Linked DNA regions of Lonchura striata. The protein of the gene in region 2 purifies or fractionates together with the protein of the main gene of each other region. This does not show direct contact. Links are inferred from orthologs where the notes say so. Each region holds a gene or a part of one and is shown on either strand. Other genes may lie near its edges. The genes, in order: FNIP2 and FLCN.

The links.
Region 1: the proteins of FLCN (region 2) and FNIP2 purify together in Homo sapiens (affinity purification with western blotting; 5 studies listed by BioGRID and IntAct, with this or other methods). This does not show direct contact. The link is inferred for Lonchura striata from reciprocal best matches to the Homo sapiens genes FLCN and FNIP2.

What each region holds. Positions count from the first base shown.
Region 1 is NC_134606.1:40,680,860-40,689,296, forward strand, and holds the start of FNIP2 (folliculin-interacting protein 2), read right to left. Parts: upstream 3,265-8,437; 5' UTR 209-3,264; coding exon 42-208; intron 1-41.
Region 2 is NC_134618.1:15,352,222-15,360,905, reverse strand, and holds the start of FLCN (folliculin), read left to right. Parts: upstream 1-5,495; 5' UTR 5,496-5,739; intron 5,740-5,869; exon of another isoform or gene 5,870-5,939; intron 5,940-6,987; 5' UTR 6,988-7,016; coding exon 7,017-7,265; intron 7,266-8,437; coding exon 8,438-8,584; intron 8,585-8,684. Other genes in the region: COPS3 (COP9 signalosome complex subunit 3), read left to right, coding at 1-113, 681-761, 1,080-1,133. UniProt on the Homo sapiens protein: Multi-functional protein, involved in both the cellular response to amino acid availability and in the regulation of glycolysis.

The DNA.
Region 1 (8,437 bases), on a different chromosome or scaffold from region 2:
TTTGTCAAAAATCATATACATCAAAAAAGTTACATGCATACCTGTTTTGCAGCAGTCTAGTCACTTTGTTGGCACAGCTGACACTTTCGTCTCTCAAAGACTTTCTAATTCTTTCATCCAATTTGGTACAAGAGAGATCATTGTTGTTTCTTGTTCTTTCTATTTGTCCCCCAGTGCCATTTGCAGTTTTTGGTGTACCCCCACACATTTTCTTAGCTACAAGTCCTCTTGTAAAGCTCCCTCAAAGAAACTAAAACACCTGCTGAAGAGAAAAAACCTCAAGCAAGTTTCTTCACTATCGCTCAACCATTAACAATGGTAATTTACCATCACCTTTCTTCCCAATAAAGGAAGACAGTCTGCTGAATTTCCAGTTGGGGGGGAAAAAAGGCAAAGGAATCTTCATATATTCTATAAGCCATTAATACAAAAGGACAGCTGTAGCTAATGTAGTCCTGCAATTATTCCAGAAAGAACAGACATGACTTTCAGGTTTCAGAAGCCATCGTGGACTTGTTCTTGCTGCTGTCAGAGGTTTTCCTTCTAAGCCTGGCGCAAAGCTGCAGCAGATACAACAGCTAATATTGACTTTAGCTATGTTTGTTTCCTGGTATGTGATTTAGGTAGCTGGCAATTATGTAGTCACAAGACTGAACCATATGGCCTCTTTAAAAAAAAAAAAAAAAAGCATAGTTGCTTTTGCAGTGACTCGCCCTTAGTTGCAAGGTTGTTCTAACACTGGCTACAACACCCTGTTAATGGCTCTCATGTGAGCAAGTGTCATCTGACAACCCCTAGCAACCTCGTATAGCTTAGGAGCAAGTAAGAATCTGTCATCATTGCCATATGGTTATCAGTTTAAAAAACCCAACTACCAACACCAAGAAACATGCTAGATATTCTGTGCTGTACTGACTTTATTTCTAAGGACAAATACTACTTATACTTGGACAAGAACTTGACACTAGTACTTTGAAAAGCTATTTGAAAAGTATGAAGGAAAACAATGAGAAAAGGTTTGTTCAGATTTCAAGTTGCTTGATGAGAATTTACAGTCATGTGCCTCTTAAAATAATTCAATGACAGCATTGATGACAAAAATATCTAATAAAGTACTCCCAAGTAAATTTCAGTTTTTGAACAGAACAAAGGAATCGGATCACAGAAGAGAGAACATAATTGAGTCCAACTCCTGGGCCTGCACAGCAGCATCCCCAAGAGTCATACTTAATGCCCCAAAGTGCTGTCCAAACACTTCTTGAACTCTGTCAGGGATTGGTGCTGTGACCACTTCCCTGGGGAGCCTATTTGAGTGCCCAAACACCCTCTAAGTGAGTAACTTTTTTCAAATATGCAACCTAAACCTCCTCAGCACAACTTCAGGCCATTCCCTTGGGTACTGTCACTGGTCACCACAGAAGAGATCAGTGTCTGCCCCTCCTCTTCCCCTCATGATGAAGTTGCAACTGCAATGAGGTCTCCTCTCAGTCTCATGTTCTTCAAGCTCAACAAAGTGAGTGACCTCAGCCATTTCTCATACAGCTTTTCCACAAGGCCTTCCATCATCTTTTTTGCCCTCCTTTGGGCACTCTCTGATAGCTTAAATATCTTTCTTGTATTGCAGTGTCCAAAACTACACACAGGATGTTCTGTTAGGCTCTGGTAATTCTACTGCAGAATAAAGTCCTCTTTACCCCATCTTTGCTTTAAAATAAGTTATCCAGACATATCTGCTCATAATTCACATCTATCATGAATTACAATGGGCTTTCTCCTCACCAGTAAAATTTTAGACATTTTATAAGATAACAGCCCTACTGCAATTTCTCTTCCAGGTTAAAAAGGGAAAATAACTTTGTTAATGGTCAACCAGACAAGCAGTAGAGTTAGAAGCAAGATTTCAAAACCCAGTGCTACGTGCTACCTGCTAAATAGCACAGCACCCTTAAAATGATTTTGTAATCACAGTTAACCCCAACCTCTAAAAACTGGACAGAAGTGAAGCAAAAAACTAGAGCAATGCTAGGTTGAACAACTTGCTCTGTTGCTGAGGGAAACCTATAGCAATAAAAAAACCGCTCCACTTCGATCCCCAGAGAAGTGACAAGTACTGGATCACAATCACTCCTCCTTCCAAGAATGGCAAACAAGTGAAATCTTTGGCCTGTTCTCAAGTGACTTAAATTGTCTAGGAGAAGACAACTCTAGTCTTCCCCTCATTGAGGAAGACTACTTTAAACACCAGTGTTACCAGTCATCTTTGAAGCACAGATGAAAGAAGTGAAATAATACATGTTGACTAAGATCAGGAAATCATAGCTTTCACTTCTGCACTACCCTTTCCCCAAACAAACCAAAATTCTGGAACATTCATCAAACAATCAAATTCCCATCAGGGATTAGAACAAGAAACTCCTGTAAGCTCACTAAATAGATGGCTTCACAACACTACCTCATCTGTAAATGCAATCATCTGTAGAATAACATAAATCCTATAGTATCTGAAGAATTAACATTCCAAATCCACAGCACAGTTTCTAAACAACAAAATAATATATAAATCTACACATGGAAAACACACAGTCCATAAAGTAGATAACACAGAAAATGGAATAAAGTGTCCTGCTCTGCAGATATAATCCTCTGTGAAGCTGAATTTAATCACTCTTTTTCTAGGCTATGTGACAGCATGCCACCTGCTCTGTTTGTAGGTCATTTCCTGTCCTTCATTTTCACTGCAAGACAATTGCCTAAATTATTTCAACTCAAGGTAATACTTTAGCAAGAAAATTTGGGGTAGGGGAAAGAGGAAATAAATGTATGTGATGTAGTTTAAGAATAATTTTCTATATAAGTTACAGCTGTCCACTAAAACTTAAGCACTGTTTTCAAATCTAAGAGAATATTTTCAGAGACCCATGCAAGCTTTTAGAAGTGGCTAGAGAAGCTTAGCAAAAAAGTTTGAACCACACCTGCTGTTTCAGTGAGCATTTCTTTTTGCAAAACACACACATCGCAAAATTGATACACAAAAAATACCTAGACCCAAACACTCAGGATTAGTGCCAAAACACATATTTAAAGATGAAGTGGAATCTTTTCTGGATTGCTTAATGATAATTTTCCCTCTTTTAGTCCATTGAATAGTTTATGGGGAAGATAGGTTCCCATCCTCCCTCCTAATTTGCCTCATTTACCCTACATTGTTTCTTCTCTTTCTAAAACCTCAGATATGGAAGAGTTGTGTGGATGCCACACCACATTCCTTTTCCACAATGACTTAAAGTAGTCCTAATATGGCAAAGCTCTATTAACCTGAGATGAACTACCTTGTTCAAGCATGATACATAGTTACTAGTTTCACACAAGTTAGGCGGGATACATTGCAGATTAGTCACGCAACAAGTGAACGAAGGTATTATTTGGAGCACTGCTCTCTCTCAAGACAGATTTTCCTGAAGAAAATGTTCAGATGGAAAAAAAGTTCTAGGTATCAAATCACTGTACAGAAGCGTCACTTTTTTTAGAATAATTCTATATGTTCCTCTATGAACTCCAAGCAGTATTGGACATATTTGTTAATTGAAAAGCTAGAATTCCACAGATTCCCTGCTTAGGAAAGGACAAGATACTGGATTTTTGTGAGGCTGGAAGTATTTTTTCTTCATCTTTGTTGCTATAAAGCAATATCATCACAAACATGCACAAAAAATGACAAGACACACACACTGCTAAATAGAGGTTAACAAACAGATCTACGCAAGTTGGAGTCACCATAAAGTGCACACATCAGCTTTCCATAAACATAAAGAGCAGCCCATTAAACCAGTGCGTCAACTCAACTTCTCTAAGTTATCAGGAATCACTGCTCACTGGCTTATCTACAAATCTGAAGTCTGGGAGTTAGCTGTCATAGGGTATCTATCTAATGTAATCTATCTAATGTAGAAATAAAAAAATAAAACCCACAATAAAACAAAACCTTAATCAAAGAAAACACCCAGCAAGTACACTGTTTGAAGGAGGACCACAAATAGCACAGAGACAGCACTCTCAGTTGCTAGCTCCAGAAGTGGAATTCCTCATTAGGAAAGAAAAGAGCTAAAGGCTTGTAATTGCATGGAAAAAAGCATGCATTTAATTGTGTTTGACCATTAAGAAAAGTATGGGTTTTGTTAAACTAGGTCTTTAAACAAAGACAGGTAAAATCTGCATTAAGGTTAGCACCTTATGTCTACCACCTAGTTCTTTCCTCCATACAGAAAGCCATGCTTAGTTTTAAACAACTTTCCCCTTTCCATCCCACTTTCTGCTGCCATCTCTATAGCTTCCAACAGTTGGGAGAGCCAGCTGACCCGAAGCAAGTCAAGTATTTTGCAGTAGCTGTTTCAGAGTGATGATCTTTATCAATTCAAAAAAATGAAAATTTGCTTGTGATTTAACACTCTCTAGGATTTGACTCTGCTCCTTTCCCTGTTTATTTTTTCAAGGCATCTGCAATAAGCCGCTTCCAGCTTTCACTGGAGCCAAACAGCAGCGGCCACCCGGGAGCAAGCAGTGTGGGTCCGGCGCCTCTGCTGCGTGGCCGGGCACAGGCAGCCGGGCCGGCCAGGGCACCCCACCTCCTCCGGCACGCAGCCTGGGTCTCGGCTAATGCATCATTCCCGTGTCACTTGTTCCAGCGGCGCCATGTGACTGGGCCAGCGGCCAGGAACACAGCTACTAAATACAGACACTGCCAAGGCACGTCTGGGAACTGCCTCTGCCAGAAAATGAGATTAAGAGAAATCCTTTATCCTGCCTCTGCCTTTCCCCACCTTCTCTTGAACACAAGGAAGAACTACCCATTGTACATCTGTCTGAAGGAGAATTTTGAGCAACAATGCAAGGCAGAATCTGGTATTTATAACACTATACTAGCTCTTACTTCATTGCAGTGCTGTATAAAAGTACTGACAGAATTCAGACCTTAGTATCTCCTACATACGTGAGCAGGCCAAGACAGACATCGCCACACCTTAAGGCTGGTATCCTGAGGCATGGGTTTGGTTGTCTGCTCTTTCCTGTTCCTTCTCCCTCCTCTATAAAGCCCTATATTCTATATTTTATTCTTTTTATTTAAGGAAGATTCTGTATACAGGTTTCAGACATCTGTTCAAAGGATTAATTTCAGAATATGAAAAAAATTATTAAGAAAAAATGTTATTTATTGGATGTAAGTAAATACATAGATACAGAGAGCTAAACAATGTCTGGTGTTTAACATTCTCCCCCCACCCCAGTTTTTTTCTAGCTAAATGGAAAGTATTTTTCTGCTATAACATACACAAACACCTTCAAGTAGCCAAAAACACCCTCATGTTAACAGCAACCATTTCTTTAGAAATTTCCTCCACTTCTATACTATGAAAAGGCTACATTCACAAGAGGGCTTTGTGAACTGCAGAGGATGTGGCACTTTCTCAAGCTTTACAGACAGAAGTTTAGGGTACTCTCTCCAGGGGTGCAGAAAGATTGCAAATCCCCATTTCTCATCATTGTTCTGAACACGCACTCCCACTGTACAAAAGAACACACTCAAGGAGGGCTAGAGGCAAGTGCTATCCAAGGACCCCATGGCCTTCTTCCAAGGGAAATTGCTTCAAAGTGTTTCATCTAACCCAAAAGCACAAACTCAGCAGTATCACTTCACTTAAAACGAAATTAATATTTACCTCCTAAATTCCTATTCTATGAAAAGATATCACATGTGGCTCTCTAACAGTGCTGAGAACTGAAGCAGCCCAGTTTTTTTGACTAGCTAACATAGTATTGGCAAGACCTCTGTAAATGGTTATGTTAAACTGTTGTAAGAACAAGATGTGTTTTGATACTTCTAAAACAGAGATTGCAGCTGAAAAGTTAGTCTGCAATAACCAGGGAAGGAAGGAAGAAAACCTAAGTTGAATATTTATGAGAAAGTACTGATTTACCAAACTGGCAAGAATATGGGAAAGAACACATACACAAGAAGCCATGCTTGATCACCCAAAAGTTGCTACAGCACGAACAGCAAAATCCATTGCCTTGGTCTAGATGAATGCCAGGAAATCCTGACTTAGATTGAATGAAGTGATAACACGGACGGATATAACATCAGCTCCGGCATTTTTCACTAGTTATAGCCAAAAATATGTTTTGCTCCTCCTGTTGTTGTTATGATAATTTGTCTATTCCATCCAAAACACTTTCCTTAACTCTCTTGTAGATAGCACAGAAAACAGCTTTCGAGTAACTAGAACTGAATCTTGAAGGCTTACACAGATTTATTTTCAAGTTTCACTGGAAAGGGAAGGAGGAACCACACCTTAGGACCATGTGCAGAAGATCATGGCAATTAAATAACTCATACCATACATCTTTTCAATGAAAAAGACTACACACAAAACCAACCAAACAAACCACAATCCTGCAGCTGACTGGCACAGGCAAACCTATCCTTGCTGCAAGCCACTATGCTAAAGACTTACGTTCTGTTTACCACCAATTGCGTAGGACTTTGCATGTATAAATAGTCATTAAGTTATGAAACAGTCTCCCCTCCTTAAAGCAGGCCAACCACTCTAAACTACTCACATAGGATCCCAAACATTTTCTCAAAAACACTGGTATTATAGAAGACTTAGAAGTTTATCCAGTCAGGTTTGTACGTAATTACGGCTGACCGCACCCAGTAGTATGCTAGCATTTGGCTGCCAAGTATCAGTCCATCAACCCTGAAACATCTGAGCAAAAACATAAAAATCACACGGAAAACTTAGTTGCATCCTTGTCCTGCAACAAGAATGATTTGCACATTGATAGATGCAAACAAATTTCAGTCAGTAGCAATTATTTACACAAATTCGAAACCTTCCTCCTCACAAGAAGGTAAAAATTCGTCAAGCTTCTTTAATGCTCCCCAGGAAAACAGTGTACAAGAAAATCCTTTATAACAGACCTGATTTACTAGTGAGGTGAAGTCTACCAGAGAAGACTCACTAGAAGCCATCCTAACAATTACAGATTCAGGACAACTTCCTTTAAATACAAACAAAACTCTTTATTTTCACTTTCTGCCAGAACAGGGACCAAGGATACAACTCTGATGAAGACTACATTCAACTTTTAGTGCTTCAGTAACGCAAACAAAAAGCCAAAATAAACTCAAATTTCTAGTTTGCATGCTAACACATTTCAATACAAATACAGAATTATTTCTTTAAGCAGAAAACAAAGTTTAATTCATAGGTTCAAGTCATCTTTGGCACTCCACACGGACATATTTTCCTCAAAAATAAAGAAATTGGACAGATGCATTATCAATGTGCACATGGGTTCATTGAGTTGACTGTTTCAAAAAAACCACATTCACTACAAAATACATTGTTTGCATTTTCATCTTCTTCGCATACCTATCACTGCACTCATTATCCAGTCCAGCTCTCCATTAGCATTTTACAGCATTTCCACCAAGTGCTATAATAAAGTGACAAACAGAAATAGCTACTTTCAAACGATTTCCCTAGTTTCATTCAAAAGCATTCCAGAATATATCCCTATGTGTAAGACTGCTTACAGGAACTTCTGAACACAAGAAATTTAGTACCTGAACTTTTTTGAACTCAACTGTACTGTGATCTAGTTCACAGGAGGTGACTAACATATCCCCAAGTCTCCCAAGTACCAAAGTCATTAGGTAGTACTCACCCACCCCCTAAGTTAGAATTGGGTCTGAAATCATTTTAGTGAGATTTATATGCACAGGCAAATCTCACAAACACCTTTATAAGGAGAGAGGGTTAATTTTTCCAAGTCTTTAACTTGATATGATCTAGAAACATTTTTAACAGTTGGGAGGGCAGAGGTTGCACTTCTGAAGCTGTTTCAAGCAGCTAACACAGGACAGCAGCCTTCCTCCAGGCTAAAAGCCAAGACCAAGCAGGAGCCAAGATGCATGCCACTATGGTTGTCTGCTAAGTGAAGTGGCCACCAGATCCCTGTTCTTTATTCCAGCCATCTCAACACAGCTGAGGATTAGCCCTCCATAACCATTCCTGCATGGTGTGACAGCTTAACACAGACTACTGTAAGAAGAGCTGGTTCTATCACTGACCTTTACATAGACACAACTGATAGCACTTGAACACTGTTCCATCAATGCTACTGTGGAAGTGACAAACGTCCAGCCAATACCCGATCCCAGCATAGAACAGGAGACTGCAGTAGCATCTTGTAACATTGGAGCCATTTACCAAGACCAAGCCTTCATATGCATGGACTAACCCTGCTGCTCCACAGCTGAGTAAAGCGGTTTCTGCACCAAATATCTTCTTCCTTGCACCTGCACCTTCCTTCACAGCACCTCATAGGTCTCCACCCACATTGTTCAATCCAAGATGTTAAACAAGACAGGACA
Region 2 (8,684 bases):
TAGAAGATGGTGAAATCTTCGCAAGTATTAATCAGAAAGATGGTATGGTCTGTTTCCATGATAATCCTGAAAAATATAACAATCCAGCTATGCTTCATAACATTGATCAGGAGGTAAATCTTTTACTCCTTTTGGAATTCTTACCAAAGAACCTTAGACTGTAATCAGAGAGGTGCTGGCAGGAGCCAGTGTAGTAACTTAGATATAGAGAGTGAGGACTGTAAATCACTATATTACTATTTCACAGTATTTTCATGGGTTTTAGATTAATACTCTCTCTCAATGTGTTCCCTGTTTTGTCCTGCACAGCTTGAGCTGTTTCAGGAGACTGACTGCTTGCTGTTGATGATAGGAAGATCCTTGAGTGGATTAGAAAGATTGTTTTTAGAGTTTTAAACTTGAAGGATCACTTCCATTGGCTCTCAGTAACCTGCCTGTAGGTTAAGGTGGTTGAGCCTCAGGGTACTGTCTATCAATGGCCTTAAAAAGGAAGGCATGGATCAAATGAAGGGAATAAAATACGGTCTTACACTTTTGTTTGGGAGGTGAGGGATGAGAACATTTTGATGTAGAACTTTAGTGGTGGCAGAAATTACTTGTTCTACGTGGCACAGCCGTGAAATGTGTTGAAGATTAGGTACAAGCTGGACAAAGTAATCAATTTCATACATATTTTTAAGATGCTGAAATGTATAGAGCTTGATGAACGACTGAAAGCCATGGATCAAGAGATCACTGTGAACCCTCAGTTTGTGCAGAAGGTAATGGATTTAATGTCTTGTCAGAGTATGTAAGAGATTCATTCAGTGCAGTGAGTATATTGTACTGAATGTCAGTATTTACAGTGTTGTTATTACATATTATTAATAATATGTGCATAAACATCATGACACATCATAAAGATAATTTATTAATTTTAAAGGTGCTTTTCCCTAATTAATCCTGCAGTGATTTTAACCAGAAAATTAAGTTCATGTTATTTCATAGGCACTTTATTTTCCTCCCTGTTCACTTCAAAGACCTGTCATTCTCAAGCCTGCAGACCTGTTTCTGAACAGAACTAACTCTTTCCCTTTCAGAGTATGGGCTCTCAAGAAGATGACTCAGGGACCAAACCATCCAGTTATTCTTGAAATTAATGTTGCTCACCACTCCGCTTTCAAGTAAAAGCTTACGAAAGAATCACGCCTGGAACAGGGCATTGAGGAGTTCCACAAAGAGAGCAGAGAGAACTGAGCTTTGCTTTTCACCTGGACATTAAGAAAATAAAAGAACACCCTCTCAGTACTGTATAATATCAGAAATATTCTCTGCAAAGAAAAAGGAAATCTCAAAAGAAACTTGAAAGTCTGTTGTGGATTTATTTATCTTCAGATTAACATTGTTAATGCATTAAATAATCTACCTTTTGTTTTAAAGGGTTTGAATGTTGCCGTGTTTCTGTAGCAGTCCTCCTCTTCTGCAAAAGAAAGTGTTATTCAGGGAAGAATACAAACCAGTGTTGGTTCACTTACAAGATAATTATTGGTTCATTATTCTGTATTTAAAGTTGGCTCAAAGTGCAGATTTATCATATGTGTGGTGGGGGCAGAGAGGTGGAGTTCAAGCAAATCATAATGTAGGGAATTTGCATATGCCCCATGTAGCTGGTGCTGTCTGTTAAATGAGGAAATAAGAACTGTTCTTCCAGAAAGGATGAGGATATCAACATGTCCTTGTAAGGAAGTTTGCTGCAAAGTAAGAATCATATATGGAAAACATACGTGACAGCTGTTTATGATTTTAAGTTTCTGTTGCAAAATATCTGCTAATATTATTTGCTCTTAGATGAAATTTATTAGGCCTAAACAAAAGGATATTTGGAAAACATTGGTGTTCTGGAGGATTCTAGATAGGAAGTTGTTTACACTGAAAGAAATTTAAATGTTTGTTCCTGTGCAACTGGCATGAAGGTATTCAACAGGCTGATTGTTTCTTTGGTGGAAACCTGTATTTCTGCATGGAACATAAATAGAATTCTATACAGCTCTCAAAATGCAGGATTTTATTCAGATATAATGTGTTGGAATGGTACCTGGTTTTTAATTTACTATTTTAAACTTTGAAACTTTGCTATTGGATTCTTTAAAGTGCTTCACCCCTTAAATCCAACAGGCTGTTTAATTTTCTGTCATTCTCGTGTATTTGAAGATTCTCACTGTTCAAACACCTTCCTGTCAGGCAGAAATAAACCCGTCATCAAATCAGAAAACAAGAAGCTCAACAGCCACTGCTTCCTACTGAAACACCTGGCCAGGAGCTGCTTGCTCCTGCTGCCCTGCCAGCTTTTGTCCAGGTGGGAGCTGAGCATTCCTGGCTCTTGCTGTGAGAAGTTTGTATGTATTGAGGTCACCTATGGTTGAAAATATTCCATTTGTGCTTCCAGCGCTGATACAGAAGTGTTGGTGGCAGCAGGGTGCTGCCTTCTGGTGCAGAGAGGTGTCCCAGGTTGTGGTTGGTGGTGGAGGACATTTTTAAAAAAGTATAAAATAGCAATTTAGTAGTGAACACAGTGGAGGTCCATAGTGTGAGTAGCTCATCACTTCCTGCCTGAGAGAATTCCATTGGGACAACTTTTATATCTGATCTTTAAGCAAGATCTTGGGGTTTTTCATAACTCACAAGTCTTGTAACTAGAAGAGATCTATGACTTGGAAGGTTTTTAGCCTTGTTAATCCTGCAGTGATTTTAATGCTGAACATACAGCATTTTCCCCTCTGGTCCCATGGAAGTATTAAATGAGTAATTAGTGATGCTGTGGCTTGAGCCCAAAACAGGGTGGTTGTTACAACCACATGTGGCACTCACAGAAGGGACTGCAAACAACTGACCCCAAACCCCACCCATCCAGAAATGTGCCTGCCTCAACTCTCTTTGCCAGTGGCTCCCTTGCCAGGGGAGAATGTATTGCCAGGGGAGAATGTATTCAAGATGCTGTCATGGAGTCTGAAAAAAACCAGGAATGTCCATTTTTACACTACTAGTTCCTGTTATTGAGCATGGATTTACCTGCTGAGATCTGCAGGATGGTTTTCCAGCTGTGGAATTAGAAGCAAACTAATCCATGCAGCTGGTGAATAGCTCTAGATTTTTCTCTTCTTTTTCCTTGCCCAAAGTAGATAAAATAAATCCATGCTCACATCAAAAGGATGGCAAAAATAGCTGTGTAATAGTTTAAAGTGATATATTCCATTACATATCTGATTTTTAAGAGGGCAAATGCTTTTAAAGTTAGAGAATGGCTGCGGTTCCTTTTCTGTCTGTGCTGTCAATGTCTGAATTCTGTTAGAAATTCAAAGTCAGGTCCCACCTGTAGAATCAGTAGATAAAGCATTCACCAAAAGTGCTCCAGGGAAGGGCTTTTAAGTCCTCGTTTGATAAACACACATGATCTGGCATCTGCATGTCTTGAGATAGCGCTGAAATTAAGTCAGATTTTTAATGAAGCAGCTCCTTCCAAGTCTTGGAACTAATTGCCTGGGCTGTGGTCAGCTGAGAGGCTTCGAGAACACTTGGGCTTTCTGGTTTTAATTTGTATTTACTGCAGGGAAGGACTTCTGCTGAAATCTAGGAACACTGCGTGCTGTGCTGCTCCCAACTTGGACTCTCAGAGGTCTCGTGGCTGTTCCTTCCCATCCTGCATGGTCACAAGATGTGTCCAGGGAATACTGAGTGCACGCTTTGATATCTGACTCTGATTTTGATGCATTTTAATTGGCAAAGACACAAAATGCACTTCTGAAGGCAGCATCACATGTGCAGCTGCAGTTCATAGCCACAGGAGGGGTCTCTAGGCCAGTCACGGTGAGATTTGGAAATGTTCCTAAGGAGGAATGGTTGGAAGCTGTGTCCAGCCAGCCCCCACTCCTGGTTTTGTGCCACTGAGGAGCCCCAGAGCGAGCTGTGCTGAGCCATTGCTCCGTGGTGTAACTGCAGCTGCCTCCTCCTCCACAGCTCCCTGTGTGTGCCACGGCACAGCCACAGCCCCGTGTTTGTGTTGTCACAGGCCGTCTGTATAACCTAGGAAATGTTCTCCGTGTGCCACGCTGGCCCGGGAGCTTAGTCCTGAGAAGTTGTTTAAATGTACTATTGGAAAATAAAGATAACAAACGAGTGGTTCTTAGTTTGTCTTCAATGAGATTGTAGGTCTTTTCCATTTGGGGTTTTCTTAGGTTTTTTGGGGGGATCTCTCTGTTGTGGTTGCTTTTCAGGAGGTGATTTTTGGCTGACTGGGGAGGCTGCTGGTTGCCTGCTGTGTGTGGCAGTGCCCTCTGCTCCAGAGGTGCTGAAACCCTGCTGGTGGCTTCTCAGAGCTCTGCTGAGCAATTCCAAGTAGAAATAATCTTTCTTTAGTGTCTTTCTGGAGAAGTGCTGCTGCAGGTCCTTGACTGAGATGAGCTTTGGGATTTTGGATGGAACGCATCTTCACTAGTCTAGTGAAGATGTCCCTGCCCACAGCAGGGGCTTGGCATGGGATGGTCCATGAGGTCCTTCCAACCCAAACCATTCTGGGATTTGTGTCTGAGCTCTGTATTTCTGTAACAATCCATCTTGCTGACCATCTGGCTATTGTTTTAATCAAAGACATAATTATTAGTCCATGAGTGGCTGTGCTTGGACCCAGAGGTGTGTTGTGTAGTGGTATCAGCAATAGCTGCTCTTTCTTGGGATTAAAGTACGAGTTTTACTCAGTTGAATAATCTATGCTGTTATCTACCTGAAAACTTATTCTTTTTGTTCAGATTCAGGTATTTAAAGTTCTTTAAGTGGCGACTCCAAGGGGCAGGGAGGAATCTGGTACTTTATTATTTTTGAAGGTCAATAGGTTCATATGGAATTTGGTTTAGCTTTCCATCATAGATTCTTAAGAGATAAATAATATTTTAATATTTAAATGTGATATCCTGAAGAGAAACAGGAGTTGTTTAATGGAAATAAAGAGCCTGAACAGGCTTAACTTGGGCATCTGCTCCCCTGCCCTTCCCGGGCTGTACCTGTGCAAACACTTCCACAGAGCCGCTTTATACATCGGGAAACGACAGTATTGTGAAACCTTCATCTGCCATAATCTAACATTCTGAGCACTTTAAGGAACTAACACAGACGGTGGGTGCTGAGTCTCCAATGGAGAAATCGCGCCGAGCCTGCGAGAACACGGCACCGCCCTGAGGCCGGAGAAAGTCCCGGGAAGGGGCTCTGCGACAGCCGATGGCGAAGCTCGTTAATGCGGCAGGCTCCAACCCGGCCGCGGTTTCCATCCCGGCCCCGGCTCCGGTCCCGGTCCCGGTCCCGGCCCCGGCTCCGGTCCCGGTCCCGGTCCCGGTCCCGGCCCCTCCGGGGCTCCGCCCGCGGCCACCCCGGGTCCCCTCCCAGAGCCCGCGGGTCACATGACCCACAGCGCGGCCCGTACCACCCCGCGGGGGGAGCGCCGTCCGCTCCCGGGGCGGCCCCCGCCGGTCGCTGGCTGCCGCTCGTCCCTTCCGGTGTCCCCGGTGATGGAACACCGCTGCTCCGCTCTGCGCCGTGACAGCTGGGCAGGTGTAGCGCGGGCGGGGAGGGTGCGCCTTCCAGACCTTCTTACACCCCCCTCTGAGATAATGGCTCCGCCCGGCCCCTGTGGACAGGGCGGCCCTGGGCCGAGCCACTGCAGCAGCCGGGGGGTGGCGGCTCTCCGGGCGGGACGGCCGGCTCAGTCCCGCGGTACGAACGGGCTTCTCATCTCTCTCTCTGTCTCTCTCCTACCTTGTTCTCCATCTTCTCGCTTCTCCGCGGCGGCGGCGGGCGCGCGGGCGGGGCGCTGTGTGTCCCTGCCCCCCCTCCCCCCCCCCCCGGCTGGCGGTGGGGTGGTAGGGCCGGTGGGTCAGTCGGTGTCAGGCTCGGGACGGGCCGGGGGCGCCGCGGTGAGCGGGGCGGCGGGCACGGGAGCGGGGCGGCGGGGAAGGGAGCGGGGCCGCGGTGACGGGGAGCGGGGAGCCGGACACTGCACCCGCGGGACAGGCTGGCTCCGGCAGGGCCTGAGCGTTCGGCTCCCTGGGTGCTCCGCAGCGCCCGCCCGATCCGGCCTGAGGCTCCGGCCACGGGGGATCTTCTGGTCTGAGCTCAGCCTTGATCCAGAGGAGGCCACCAAGGTGATCGGGGGGGAAGAGCACCTGGCCTTTGAGGAAAGGCTGGGAGAATTGGGATTGTTCAGCCTAGAAAGGGGAAGGCTTCGGGGTGACCTAATTGTGGCCTTCCAGTACCTAAATAGAACTTGCAGGAAAGATGGGACAAGACTATTTACAGGGGTGTGGAGTGACACGACCAGGGGGAACGGCTTCAAACCGACAGCAGGCTTAGATAGGATATTGGGAAGGAATTTGGCCTGTGAGTGTGGGGAAGCACAGGTTGTCCAGAGAAGCTGTGGCTTCTCCATCCCTGGAAGTGTCCAAGGCCAGGTTGGATGGGGCTTGGAGCAATCTGGGATAGGGGAAGGTGTCCTGTCCGTGGCAGGAGGTTGTACTGGGTTATTTCCAAGGTCACTTCCTACCCAAACCATTCTGGGATTCCCTGAACCTGTAATACTGGAGGTATCTGGGCTTGATGGATTGGTCCAGCCCCATTCACCCCCACGGGGCTTGACGTGTCCTGGATCAGCGTCCAGCATCTGGGCACGGCAGGGTGAGTTGCTGATGGGGTTGCCCATCAGCAAACAGAAGGTTGCTCCTGGATCAGTGCAATGCCTGGGGAGGTGTTGGAGTCACCATCCCTGGAGGTGTCTAAGGAAAGACTGGACACGGCACTCAGTGCTCTGGGCTGGGTGACAAGGTGGGGATCGGTTGGACTTGATGGTCCTGGAGGTCTCAGGCTGAGCTTAAGGCCAGCTGCTCCGGGTGGGGTGCAGAGCAGCAGCAAGGGCTGAGAGCTGCCCTGTATCTGTGTACTGACCGTGTGCTCTGCCCCTGGCTGCAGGAGCCTGGCGGCGGTGCTGAGCCCTCACGATGAACGCCATCGTTGCCCTGTGCCATTTCTGCGAGCTCCACGGCCCTCGCACCCTGTTCTGCACCGAGGTCCTGCACTCGCCGCTCCCGCAGGGCGCCGGCAGCGGGGACATCTCCGGGCAGAACGAGCAGGCAGAGGAGGAGGAAGGTGGGATTCAGATGAGCAGCAGGATCCGCTCGCACAGCCCGGCTGAAGGGGCCAGCGCCGACTCCAGCAGCCCAGGGCCAAAGAAATCAGACATGTGTGAGGCAAGTGGGAAAATCTGTGCGTGGGGATCTCCGTCCTTGGCTGTGCTAAAGGGCTCTGGGATTCTCTGATGTAAATTGAATTGTTTAGAGACAAATAAAAATGTGAACAGAATATGTTTTATATGTGTCAGTGCCAGAAGATGTCCAAGTCCTCATAAACTGCAAGCTAGCCCTAACTGTAATCCTGGTGATCCATGACAAGAGGATGAAGGAGCTGTTGTTGAATGCATACACCTTGACAGGACCTTGATGTCTCTTTAAGTTCTGTGATTTGTGATTCTCCTGTGGCTGAGAAATGCTTTGCTCATCCTTGAAGAACATTTATTTTGTTAGATTAGATCAGATAAATTATTAATAGTAATTTTAAGAGCAGTATTGGTTAGGAAAGAATTAAAAAGTAAAACAATAAAAACAATAGGAAAAAATTATATTCTCATTCATTCAGGGCTGTTCAGCCTGGAGAACAGAAGTTTGTGTGGAGACCTCGCAGTACCTTTCCAGTGTCTGAAGGGGCCTGCAGGGAATCCAGAGAAGGACTTTCATCAGGAACTGCAGTGATAAGACAAGGAGTAGTGTGTTGAAACTGAAAAAAGGGGAAATTTAGGTTAGATATACTAAAAAATTATTCCCTCTCAGGGTAGTGAGGCCCTGGCACAGGTTGCCCAGAGAAGCTGTGGCTGCCCCATCCTAGGAAGTGTCCAAGGCCAGGTTGCATGGGGCTTGGGAAGGTGTCCCTTCCCATGGCAGGGGGTGGAATGAGGTGCTCTTTAAGGTCCCTTCCAACCCAAACCATTCTATGATTCTCATATTTGTTTTCTATCAGTACTTCCTCTCACATATTTATTATTTACTTTCCCTTCAGTTGTGGCCAGTTTTGTTTGGCCGGTTGGTTTCTCAGCTGCTGTAACTGAACTTTACCAGCACTAAGTTCATAGTGGGCTTAAATAGTGGAAAATGAGCATAAAAGCAGAAGAAGTATATCAGAGTTTTGTGTGAGGACCTGAGTTCAAATCCTGACCCTGACTCACCTTCCTTGTCTTCTGAGTCTTTGTGTTCCTGTCTGTGTGTGTAAATAAGATTTTACGGTGCTTTGGAGGGAACAGTCAGAGCTCTTTGGAAATCTCAGATACCTGCACGCTCATTTATGGCTGGATTTGCTTTTCTGCCTTCAGGGCTGCCGCTCTCTTGCAGGAGGACACCCGGGGTACGTCAGCCACGACAAGGAAACCTCCATCAAGTACGTCAGCCACCAGCACCCAAACCACCCCCAGCTGTTCAGCATCGTGCGCCAGGCCTGCGTCCGCAGCCTCAGCTGTGAGGTACCTGCCGTGGAGGACAGGGAAATGCTCTTTGTGCCTCCTCTGTCACTTCAAATCCAGGATAGTCCATTGCTTATCCTGGCTGCTCTCTGCAGACTGA